3 linked regions of the Oryctolagus cuniculus genome follow. The protein of the gene in region 1 purifies or fractionates together with the protein of each later gene. This does not show direct contact. Links are inferred from orthologs where the notes say so. Each region holds a gene or a part of one and is shown on either strand. Other genes may lie near its edges.

Region 1 (3,746 bases):
ACACACTTGGGAGAAAGGGGAGAGGGTGTAGACAGGCAGAACTACTGCCGCTTGGGCCTCTCCTCCACTCCAACTTCAGCCTCAATCATCATCCTAGCGCAGGAAAACACATGTCTAGCTCAGCATTTTAATCCACTCCCCCGTCATCTAATAAACTAGCATGGTGTTTTAGATGTTGGCTCTTTGGAGTTTTGTTAGCATGATCTGACCCCTGGAAAATGGATCAATTTTTTAAAGCACTAACAACTCAATTTTTGAACTGGCCCATGGCGAAAACACCAAAGTGGTGGCTGTGCCAAGGTAGGGAATGAACAAAATAAGGTCACTCCATGAGACTCATCAGACTCCTCCCAAACTACTAACACTTAACTGTAAACCAGCGATACACAAATACAGAAGCTAGACCCATCACAAGCATACAGGTTTTTAGTTCCTACCCTTGCTGACTGTGATTTGGTTACGCGATGAGGAGTGTGAGGATCTCTTAAAAGTTCCCTAAGTGACCCTGAGGGGACTCTGTGAAGCTGCAGAATCGCTGCTTCACCAGACTTAAAGTCAAAGATCTTCACTGGGTTATTTTTCGAGACAGCATATGATAGGGTTTGCTACGAAACATTAAGCAAGAGAAGAAACGGGACCATTCCTCACAGTTGCATTGGGCTACTTACTTGAAAATGCTTAAAAATCAACTCAGGATTGAAGTACAACTGAAAAGGTGTGATCAGTTCCAACTGCTGAAATGAAAAAAGAGCTGCTTTCAGCACGTCAATCAAGAAACACAATTCCATCCTTTATAACAAAGGATGTAACAAATTCCAATTCTTAGTCACTCAGGTTGAATTCCTTTAAGTGTTTCTTCTTGGGCCAGAAGAAAGGGTTGGTAAAGAATTCCCTACATTGATACAATTCTTGCTCTTTGACACATAATACAAAACTAGAAAGATTGGGGTCGACCAGGTGTAAGTAAGAATTCTTACGGTGGCCAACACTGTGCTGTAATAGGTGAAGCCTCCACCTGAGACGCTGGCATCCCATGTGGGCCCCGGTTTGAGTCCCGGCTGCTCCATTACAATGCAGCTCTCTGCTATGGCCTGGGAAAGCAGCCCCGGTTTGAGTCCTGGCTGCTCCATTACAATGCAGCTCTCTGCTATGGCCTGGGAAAGCAGCGGAAGATGGCCCAAGTCCTTGGGCCCCTGCACTCAAGTGGGAGACCCGGAAAAAGCTCCTGGCCCCTGGCTTTGGACCCACCCAGCTCCGGCTGTTGCAGCCATTAGAGGAGCGAACTGGCAAGTGAAAGATTTCTGTTTCTCCTTCTCTCTGTAACTTTGCCTTTCAAATAAGTCTTTAAAAAAAATTTTTTTTTTTTAGAAAGGAAAGACTGCAAGGTGGGCATCTGGCACCGCAGATGACATGAGACACCCACATCCCATTATCAGAGTGTCTGAGTTTAAGTTCTGCTTCTGCTTTGGAGTCCAGCTGTCAGTTAATGTACACCCTGCGAGGCAGCAGCTGATGGTCCAAGTACTTGGGTCCCTGCCAGCCAAGGTGGTAGACCCAGATTGAGATCCAGGCTCCTGGCTTTGGTCTGGCCCAGCCCTGGCTGTTGCCAGCATTTAAGGAGGGGACCAGCAGATGGAATATCTGTCTCTGGAATTAAAAATAAATAAATAAAAATGCTTAAAGGGGGCAGAAAAGGAATTTACAAATGAAGGTCTTAAAAAATAGTTTTAGATTGCAACAGTTGAGGCCGACAAGGGAGGCAGGCAGGCGGTGATATTTTAGACACAGGACAGTTGGGCGCAGTTGCTAAGAATCTGCTCATCACACGGGCGCCAACTCCAACAGCTGGGTGACACAAGGCAGTGCCTGCAAATAACCAACCCTGGAGACCTTGCCACTGTTCCTCCGGCCAATCCCTTCTTTATTTTAAGACATTTCCCTCCCTACAATGCTCAACTTTCTAGCCTCAATACTTAAGTTTCTTCGCTACGCGGATCTGCGTCCCACCAGTCACCACCGCGCTACCACCTGGCCAGCGCCGGAGCTCCTGGGTGGGCGGCGCCCGCAGCTCTGACCCGCTATTGGTCCGACTTTTCGCTCTCGGAAACCGACACGACCCCTCAGGGATCCGCACATCTTCCTGGGGTCGCTCCGCAACCCAGAGTGAGCCCTGGTAGACCTCCACCCACCCCTGGGACCAGCCCCTTCCGGGCCTGCCGAAGCCCAAACTCCAGTTTCCGCGAGACCCAGTCATGTTCAGCCCGGATAATTAGAAGGTGGCTCTGCAGCTGCTCACCACGGCGGCGGTGGTGAGGACACAAGCGGTAGTGTAGGCGCGGCTGACCGGTGGGATCTGCAGGTACTCCAGCCGGAGGCTCTGGTACGCCATCTTCCCCACCGCCGCCTGCCCCCCACTTCCCCTTCCGCCAATAGGCCCGGGCGCCGGGGCGGGCTCCTAGCGCCCGCGGTAGCCTATTCGCTCCTGTCCAATGAGCGCCGCGCAATCAGCCAGCTACCAATCGTGGCGTCCCAGCCTTACTTCTCCGCCCACTGACGTCAGCGAGAAGCGACTGAGTGTCGGTACCTTCTGCCAATCCCCGCTGGCCACAGCTAGCTTTCCCACCTGACCCCTCTCCGTCACCAATCAGGATGCCCCTGCCCGACCGGACAGCCAGCCAATCAGGAGAGGGACAGCATCCCGCCTTTGCTTTCGTTCGCGGAGGCGCGCACCGGTCCGCATTTGGGTCAGCTCTCGCCACCGCCCATCTCCGGCAGCTAGCGGTAGTTTAAAGGAGGTGGCGGGAAGTCGGTGTCTGGTGGACCTCATCGCCCTGCAGGCCGCAACGGTAGGTGCCACGGGGCTGCATTTTCTCTGAGGAAGCGCGGAAAAGGGGCGGGACTGGACTAGGCATCCTAGCGGGGGCGACGGGGCGGCCTGCCGGGTCCGCCTCGCCGCCGGCCTGGCCGCTAGCTCCTACCTGAAGGTCCCGGCATGCCGCGGGGCCGCGGGGCCCGACGGGATGCGGGCTCCGGCCGGAAGTGGTTCCTGCCCTGTGGCTTCTGGGTCTTGTCCGGCGTGGTTGCGGGCTCTTTAGAAAGGAATCAAATAGAAGGCTGGGGTGGTTTCTATAAAGGATGTGAAATATTATTTACTGAAGAGCAGAAAGATGAGACAGACAGTTATCTCCCATCTGCTAGTTTACTCCCCAGATGTCTGAAACAGCCCAAACTGGGCCAGGCCAATGCCAGGAGCCCAGTGCTCCATCTGGGTCTTCCATGTAGGTAGCAGGAACCCAAGTACTTGAGCCATCACCTGCATCTCCCAGGGTGCAGGTGAAACCCTCCCCCCCCCCCCCCCCGAGCATCACCCTCACGGCTTGTTGATAAAACAGTGATGGAACCTCGACAGAGCTTCGGCCGTGCCTGGTAGAGAAGAAAAGCAAGATCGGATTTTTTTTTTTTTTTTTTTAAATGGAAGGTTTGCTTCAAGGGTGGGTCTTTCAGTGTAGGGGCTTGATAAAACAGTCTAGGATTGTTGGAAATGGCCAGGCAAGGATTTCAGAGAATCTTAGGGTGCAGATTGTCCGTGCTTCCTGTCGAAGCTTTGGTCCGTCTTTGGGGGAGTTCAAAATGATCCAGCCGTTTGAATAAGGAGACTGTCCTACTCTCAGAATAGTAAACTCAGAGTAGTGTAGACATCGGGGGCCTGGGGAGAGAGATGTAGGTAGTTTGTAGTGTCCGACCAG
Region 2 (3,746 bases), on another chromosome or scaffold:
TGTTATTCATGCTGAGAGAATTAGACTCCTTTCCTTCATCTTACTTCTTTGTAATCTCAGATTCACTTCTGCAATTCAGACTGCATATCTCACGAGGACAGGGGCTGCACACTCACCACTGCATTCCCACGTGGCCCACAAACATGGCAAGACCCCACTGAGGAGTTGGTTAATGACGACAGGGGGCTCAACGTGGAGCAGGAGTCAGGTGACAGGAAGGACAAATGTGGGGGGGTGCAAGGACGTGGTTGGGGCACAGACGGAAGATCTGGGAACTACTGGCCTGAAGGGCATGTGGATAGCCGGCACTGAAACAGGCGGCTTACCCCTTCGGGTTTAGGGCCTGGGAGAGCCCCACCTCACTGTCCCAGGCCAGCCTGCCCTCCTCCTCTAGAAGGGGAGCTGTCACTGAGGGAGTTAAGACTCACCCGAACCTCAGCCTCCCGGGGCCTCCCATTGAGGTCGCACTTGGACCCGTTGCCATAGGTCTGGCTGTGGTAGCGTTTCAGGCGATGCTGCTTGGAGGCCTGGAGAAGACATCGGGCCGCAGGGAGAGGGTGTGAGAAAGACGGCAAAGAGAAAGGATGGCACCCCGTCCCTGCTGGGACCTTGAGACCTCAGAACCCTGGCCCTAGGGCACTGGGTCCTAGTGGCCAGCAAGGCCCTAGAAAGTCGTCGGTGAACCTGACCCTCCCCTTCTCTCCAGATCTTTCATCCTGCAGCCCAAAGCCCTTTCTCCTCCAGGCCCAGGCTCCCGCCACCTTGGCTGTTTCGTCATCCCAGTCGAAGGCCGATTGGTAGTAGCCGAGATACAGGACTTCACCTTTGATCTCTGAATCTGCAAGAGAAGCCACAGGGAAGCAGTTACTGTCTTCTAAGAGGAGGCAGCGGGAGGAGGGCTGGGGAGGCGGCCACCTTCCACACAGGGGAAACGGACGAGCGAGTCACCTTCCATGTGGTACTGCTGGATGTGGCGTCCATAACAGAACTCGTACGTCCACCAGTCTTTGGTCTGCCAATTACAAAACGAAGAATGGGTGGGCCCAGATGCAGATGTCTCTTCTCGGAACCAGCCCTGGGCTCCAAGACACATAACCTCTTGTCTACTTCTCATCTCCCTCCACCTCCACGCTCAATTCTCCAGCCCCTCACTGAGAAGGAAGAGCTGTTTTCCTTCTGTGACACAGAGAACCCCAAACTCTGTTCTCTGCCTGGGATCTCCCACCTTTTTTGTTTTCTTCCAGATTTTGTTTTTAATCCTTTGCCTTCCATAAAGATAAGGAATCGTGTTATCCTTGAAGCACTCAGAGCAAGTCAACTAGCACTCCTGGCACTATGCTAAGCACCCGGAAGGCAGCCATGAGCAAGACCAAATGACCTCATGGAGCCACATTCTAGAGCTTGGGAGTCAGACCAAAAATAAACAAACTCATTCAGTTAATATTCATCTCCTGAAAAGTGCCATTATAATAAAAAAAAAAAAAAAGTGGGATACTGTGACGAGTGACAGAAGGGGCTGACTGCAGGAGGTAGGCTTCCCCGAGGAGCCGCCCCTCCTGTGCCACAGTGACACCTCCTAGTCTGAGATCGGCCGTCCCGTGTCTCAGGTTGCAGGAGTCTGCTTCTTTCCTGGCTGTGTTACACGCCCACAGGTGACCACTCCCGGCCTTCTAAGCTCCTACAGGTTCCCCAGGTCCCGCTCGCACTCGTTGGCACCGCAGCTGTCAGAGCGGCTGCCGGTTCCCAAGCCCGCGCTCCGTCCCCACAGGCCGTCTCACCTTGAGCAGGCAGGGAGCATCTCTCATGGGGCTCAGCAGCTCCGGGATCCCAGGCCCTTGGTACGCGGGTGTCTCCTCCTCCCTCTCCCGCTGGAAGTGGATAGCTCCAGCGGGCAGGCGACACTCGTAGCGCTGTTTGTACTTGGAGGAGACGATCACCACGTCCGAAGCTTGGTTCTGGGAAAGAAGGGAAGGTCGGGGGCTCCGACGCAAAGAGAGGCTGCGATTATAGAAAACACCCGGATCCCTCTGCGGACCCTGGGGAGGAGCCCAGGCGGCTACAGAAGGAGCCAAAAGGCCTCCGTGGTCTGGGGGGCACTCCCACTTCTCCACGGAGGCGGAGACTGGGTGTTGCACCGTGAACCCCGACCTGCAGGCTGACAGCTGGAACTCCTCTCCCCCCAGGCCCCGGGCCCCAGGGAATGGGTCTCAGGCTGCGATCACCAGGAGTCACTGTAACAGCCCTACCTACTCTTCCCGATCCCCTTAGGCTCCCCCCAGCCTCCGCACCTGCCTTTCTTTCTCTACCTTCTCTCCTCCTTCCTCTTCTACCTCGGACCCTCACCCCTCACACGCCTTCTCACCTGCCCTCCCAAGACTGGCAATGGCAGGATCTCGATTCCATAACGCATTTCACTCAGCTCCTCCAGGTTCAAGCTCCCAACACCGCCGGTCAGACTTGCAGGTAACAACAGCCCCAGAAGCAGCAGCCCCAATAGGCTGGACAGCAGCGTTTCCGCCGCCATCTTTCGTTCCCCTTCTTAACCAGAGAAGCTCCTTCCGCCCTAAACCTGGCAGCGGCCTCACCCCTCCCACTAGCGCCGCAAGTTCTCATTGGCTACACGTTCTGTCCCTCTCACGTACCTGATTCCCATTTGTAAACGTGGCTCCAAAGTTCCCGGGGAGGTGGACCACGACGATTGGCACAATCAATCACTGCGCGTGATTGGCCAGAGATGCCAACCAATCAACGACGAGATTAGACCCCCACCCCTTATTCCCCCAATTCCATAGAGGCGTGGTCTTGCCCTGGGCGCTTTTTGGCAGCTTTTCGCTCTCCTCGGCCAGCTGTCCCGCGCATCTCTGCTTAGCGTATTTTTTAGACGTTTCATGCAAAGTGTCCCGCCCCGCGCAGAGCGGAGTACTGGGGCTGACGGATAGGTGTGTGCGATACCCGTGGAAGTTAATGAACACTTTTTGCGAAACAAGCGATTATTAGAATCATACCTCATTTCATATATACACTACTTCAGGGCAATCAGGTAATTTGTGTCAGACTTTCTGCACGATCCTGCAGTTGTTCTCCAATAAAATGATCCTAAAGGAATCACGGGAGCTGTCAGTGAAAGACGGAGTAAGGTGCTAATGCACGTATTATTGTAAAAGAAAAAATAAACACACACCAAAGAACAAAGAAGGAAAGGAGGCAGATGCAACGTCTGCGAAGCTGGAAAGCCGGCAGAGGAACGGCAACCGGCTTAGCAGAATGAGAAAATCGGCCCCTAAACAAAGGTAAACATGAGCATGGTGCCGCTGGAAAACGTTCTCTGGGGAATTTCTCCAGCACAAAAGGAAAATCCCAAAGAGAAGCTGTCGCAGTGAGGCACACAATCCCACAGGCAAGCCCCAGCCCTGAGCTGACTCCAATCTGCTTGTTGACCTCCTCGCTCTTAACACAGCCAGGCAGTGTCCTTAGACGTTCAAGGAAGGACTTTAAAGATACAAGAGAGAAACAAAACCAAGCAAGCAAAGAGAAAAAAAAGCAAATTAAAGGTAATAAAGATTAGGGGAGGGCAAAAATAAGACAAATATTTTAAAATTTAAAAACCCCACCATCTGTAGCCTCAGAAAGGTGAAACAGTGTATCCATAAAATGACAATGGAAGCTGGTTTTTTAAAGATTTATTTATCTGGCCGGCGCCACGGCTCACTAGGCTAATCCTCCGTGGTGCCGGCACACCGGGTTCT
Region 3 (3,646 bases), on another chromosome or scaffold:
TGATGCATTTGGGGAGTTAATCAGAAATGTAAAATCTTTCTGCCTTTCAAATAAAATTAAAATAAATATTTAGGGGCCGGCGCTGTGGCACAGTGGGCTAAAGCCCTGGCCTGAAGTGCCGGCATCCCATATGGCCACTGGTTATAATCCCAGCTGCTCCACTTCCGATCCAGCTCTCTGCTATGGCCTGGGATAGCAGTAGAAGATGCCCCAATTCCTTAGGCCCCTGCACCCACGTGGGAGACACGGAGGAAGCTCCTGGCTCCTGGCTTCAGATCGGTGCAGCTCTGGCTGTTGCGGCCATCTAGGGACTAAACCAACAGATGGAAGACCTCTCTTCTCTCTTTATCTGCCTCTCCCCTCTCTGTGTAACTCTTTCAAATAAATAAAATAAATCTTTAAAAATTTTTTTTAAATAAATAAATATTTAAACTGATCTTCCCAACTCAATTTAAAAACAGAAAAATAAACCTTTAGTTTACCTCTGGCCATATGTACTCCTGTTACCAACAGGGAAACCACTGCCAGGAAGCTACCGACAGTTATGAGTATAACTTGCACAAAAGACTAAGGGTAGATAAATCACCCTAAAAAACTGAGAGCCAAGGGCTCAATTTTAGAAAGATGAAGGTCCAAATATGAAGCCATTTAAGAAAGCAGGCTCTATCCTCTTCACTGCCAGAGGCTCACTCACTCCAGTAATCACAGCCTTCTAGGATTTATTTTCACGTTGGAATGCTATCTTTAGAGTAAACCTCAAGTTTCCCTCTTTGAAGCTCTCTTCTGTGGCCTTATCCACAGGCAGGACATTGAAAATGCCTATGGGGGGGGGGGGGGTGCTGACACTGTGGCGTAGTGGGTAAGGCTGCTTGCATCCCATATGGGCACCGGTTCAAGTCTCAGCTGCTCCACCTCCGATCCAGCTCTCTGCTATGGCCTGGGAAAGCAGTAGAAGATGACCCATGTCCTTGGGCCCTTGCGCCCACATGGGAGACCCGAAGAAGCTCCAGGCTTGGGATCGGTTCAACTCTAGCCACTGAGGCCATTTGGGGAGTGAACCAGCATATGGAAGACCTCTCTCTCTCTGCCTTTCCTTCTCTCTCTGTGTAACTCTTTCAAATAAATAAATCTTTAAAAATAAATAAAGAAATAAACAAAAAGAAAATGCCCACATGGAACAGGAAATTATCTGTATAATGCTTACTAGGCAAAACAGTAATTTCACCTTCAGCATGTACCACCTATAGAAAAGGTCAGAAAGCTACACTGTAGACCAGTGCATCTCTAATGTCTTGGACTCAGGACCCTTTACACTGCACAGAATTCCCTTCTATTGGTGACCATGCTATAGAAATGGGGGTAGATTCTTGTGAGAATTTTAGTACACGCCACGACACAACAATTAATTTTACATTTTTCAAGTTATAAAAAAATAAAAATATATGCAACAGAGAACTCAATCTGCTCTGTTCTAGACCATCAGTAGCCCTAATGAATTTAGAGTCTTCTATTAGGCCAAAAAATATATTATTGCCCTCTAATCCAAGGCAAATAATGAAAGCCATGCATAAAAGCATTCCAGGATGACAATGAATAGTCAGTCACTAATCACCACTCTAGTCTTGATACCCAGCACCTGGGATGCTCACCTTCACACCAATTGCCTTGAAGAGTGCAGGATGTCTCAGGGGCAGTTCCACCATCTCCTTTATCTGAGCTAGCTGCTTCCTGCAGCCACCGATGTCATCATAGCCTACTTCATTCAAGGATTCTTCCTCATCCTGAACATGGAAGAGACAAAGAAACATGACAGGAATACTGTATTACCAGAAGCTGAGTATTTCCAAATCATCCTAGTAATATGGTGTGGAAATGTTGCTGTGTAAGAAGAGTCTCCGCTAAAGTTATTATGGCTCAAAGAACAACTAAAACTTCCAAAGCAAAGACTTCTAGCACAGCCTTTCCCTCTCACACTGCTCCGAGTCCTCCTGGGAATGGTTCCCTAAAACCTGCAGCTGTGAACCCTAGGAATAAGAAGAGGTCTGGATGATATCATCAGCTTTACTTCAACAGTTATTCCAGTGACTTCTATCTTTCAGGTTCATCTATATTTTTAAAACTCCTGGCATTATGTGCCTGGTAAAGCAGCAGAAGATGGCCCAAGCGCTTGGGCCGCTGCCCACCACATGGAAGAAGACCTGGATAGAGTTCCTGGCTTCTGGCTTCAGCTCAGCCCAACCCTAGCCATCAGCAGTCATTTGGGAAGTGAAGCAGCAGATGGCAGGTCTCTTTCTCTCTTTGTAACTCTGCCTCTCAAAACAAAACAAAACAAAACAAAACAAAACAAAAAAAAACACACCAGTAACAACAACAAAAATTCCTGGTATAGCAGGGACTACAGCATTGTGGTACAGGGGGTTAAAGCTGCCACCTGCCACACCGGCAGCCCATATGGGCCCCAGTTTGTATCCCCACTGTACCAATTCCAATCCAACTCCCTGCTAATGGCCTGGGAAAAGCAGAGAAAGATGGTTCAAGTGTTTGGGCCCCTGCCACCCACATGGAAGATCTAGATGAAGCTCCTTGCTTCAGCCTGGCCCAGCGCTGGCCATTGCAGCCATCTAGGAAGTGAACCAGTAGATGGAAGCTGTCTCCCCTTACTCTTTCATCTTTTAAAAATAAAGAGAGGCCGGCACCGCGGCTCAGTAGGCTAATCCTCCGCCTGCGGCGCCGGCACACCGGGTTCTAGTCCCAGTTGGGGCGCCAGATTGTCCCAGTTGCTCCTCTTCCAGTCCAGCTCTCTGCTGTGGCCCGGGAAGTCAGTGGAGGATGGCCCAAGTGCTTGGGCCCTGCACCCGCATGGGAGACCAGGAGAAGCACCTGGCTCCTGGCTTCGGATCAGTGCAGCCAGCCATGGTGGCCATTTGGGGGAGTGAACCAATGGAAAAGGAAGACCTTTCTCTCTTTCTCTCTCTCTAACTCTGCCTGTCAAAAATTAAAAAATAAGAGAAAGAAAAAACAAGGCCAAGAAGTAAGTGGATAGGAACTTTCCAGCCTCTAGAAAGCCAATTAGTTCCAAAATGTGTTGAAAGCTGAAACATGACTGCCTCACTGAATAAGAATAAGAATCAGTGCTGGGATCACAGAGAAAACTCACCTCTCGTTTGATAGGCTCCCCTTCACAGTGGATCACTGTGTCTGGAGCAACAATGCAATAAGGGCTGGGATCTGTCTCCACTACTTTGAATTCCACAGCACGCATGCCACCCCGGACAAGGAAAATGTCTCCTAAAAGAACAAGTGTAAGCACAGTTAGAAGTGTTAACTAGAAGACTGAGAATTTCTCAAGAGATCCTGAGGTCTAAACTACCAAGTTCACTAGACATAGCCCTAGCTCCCTGCCCACCCTCCACTGTCTTAGTAAGCACACAGCAAGAGTTAAAAAGCTAATCCCTAAAAAGTCCCACTGTTACTTAAGAGCGCAATGAATAAAACCTGATGTGTCCTAAGCCCATAAAGTTTTAACTTCTGAGGTACAGACAGCTCAAGCTCTTACTACAACCACCAATTGTACAGCTATACATTTTGGACTGTGGACACAGCCAAAATGGACCACTTTCTCCCTCCAAGAAACATGAAAGGATAG

What was found.
Region 2: the proteins of DERL2 (region 1) and OS9 purify together in Homo sapiens (affinity purification with western blotting; 3 studies listed by BioGRID, with this or other methods). This does not show direct contact. The link is inferred for Oryctolagus cuniculus from reciprocal best matches to the Homo sapiens genes DERL2 and OS9.
Region 3: the proteins of DERL2 (region 1) and VCP purify together in Homo sapiens (affinity purification with western blotting; 4 studies listed by BioGRID and IntAct, with this or other methods). This does not show direct contact. The link is inferred for Oryctolagus cuniculus from reciprocal best matches to the Homo sapiens genes DERL2 and VCP.

Annotation. Positions count from the first base shown.
Region 1 is NC_091448.1:50,846,343-50,850,088, reverse strand, and holds the start of DERL2 (derlin-2), read right to left. Parts: upstream 2,539-3,746; 5' UTR 2,390-2,538; coding exon 2,297-2,389; intron 735-2,296; coding exon 669-734; intron 1-668.
Region 2 is NC_091442.1:60,274,768-60,278,513, reverse strand, and holds the start of OS9 (protein OS-9), read right to left. Parts: upstream 2,588-3,746; 5' UTR 2,525-2,587; coding exon 2,363-2,524; intron 1,956-2,362; coding exon 1,779-1,955; intron 1,013-1,778; coding exon 949-1,012; intron 839-948; coding exon 762-838; intron 528-761; coding exon 429-527; intron 1-428. UniProt on the Homo sapiens protein: Lectin component of the HRD1 complex, which functions in endoplasmic reticulum (ER) quality control and ER-associated degradation (ERAD).
Region 3 is NC_091432.1:198,028,699-198,032,344, forward strand, and holds part of VCP (transitional endoplasmic reticulum ATPase), read right to left. Parts: intron 3,289-3,646; coding exon 3,158-3,288; intron 1,782-3,157; coding exon 1,650-1,781; intron 1-1,649. UniProt on the Homo sapiens protein: Necessary for the fragmentation of Golgi stacks during mitosis and for their reassembly after mitosis. Involved in the formation of the transitional endoplasmic reticulum (tER).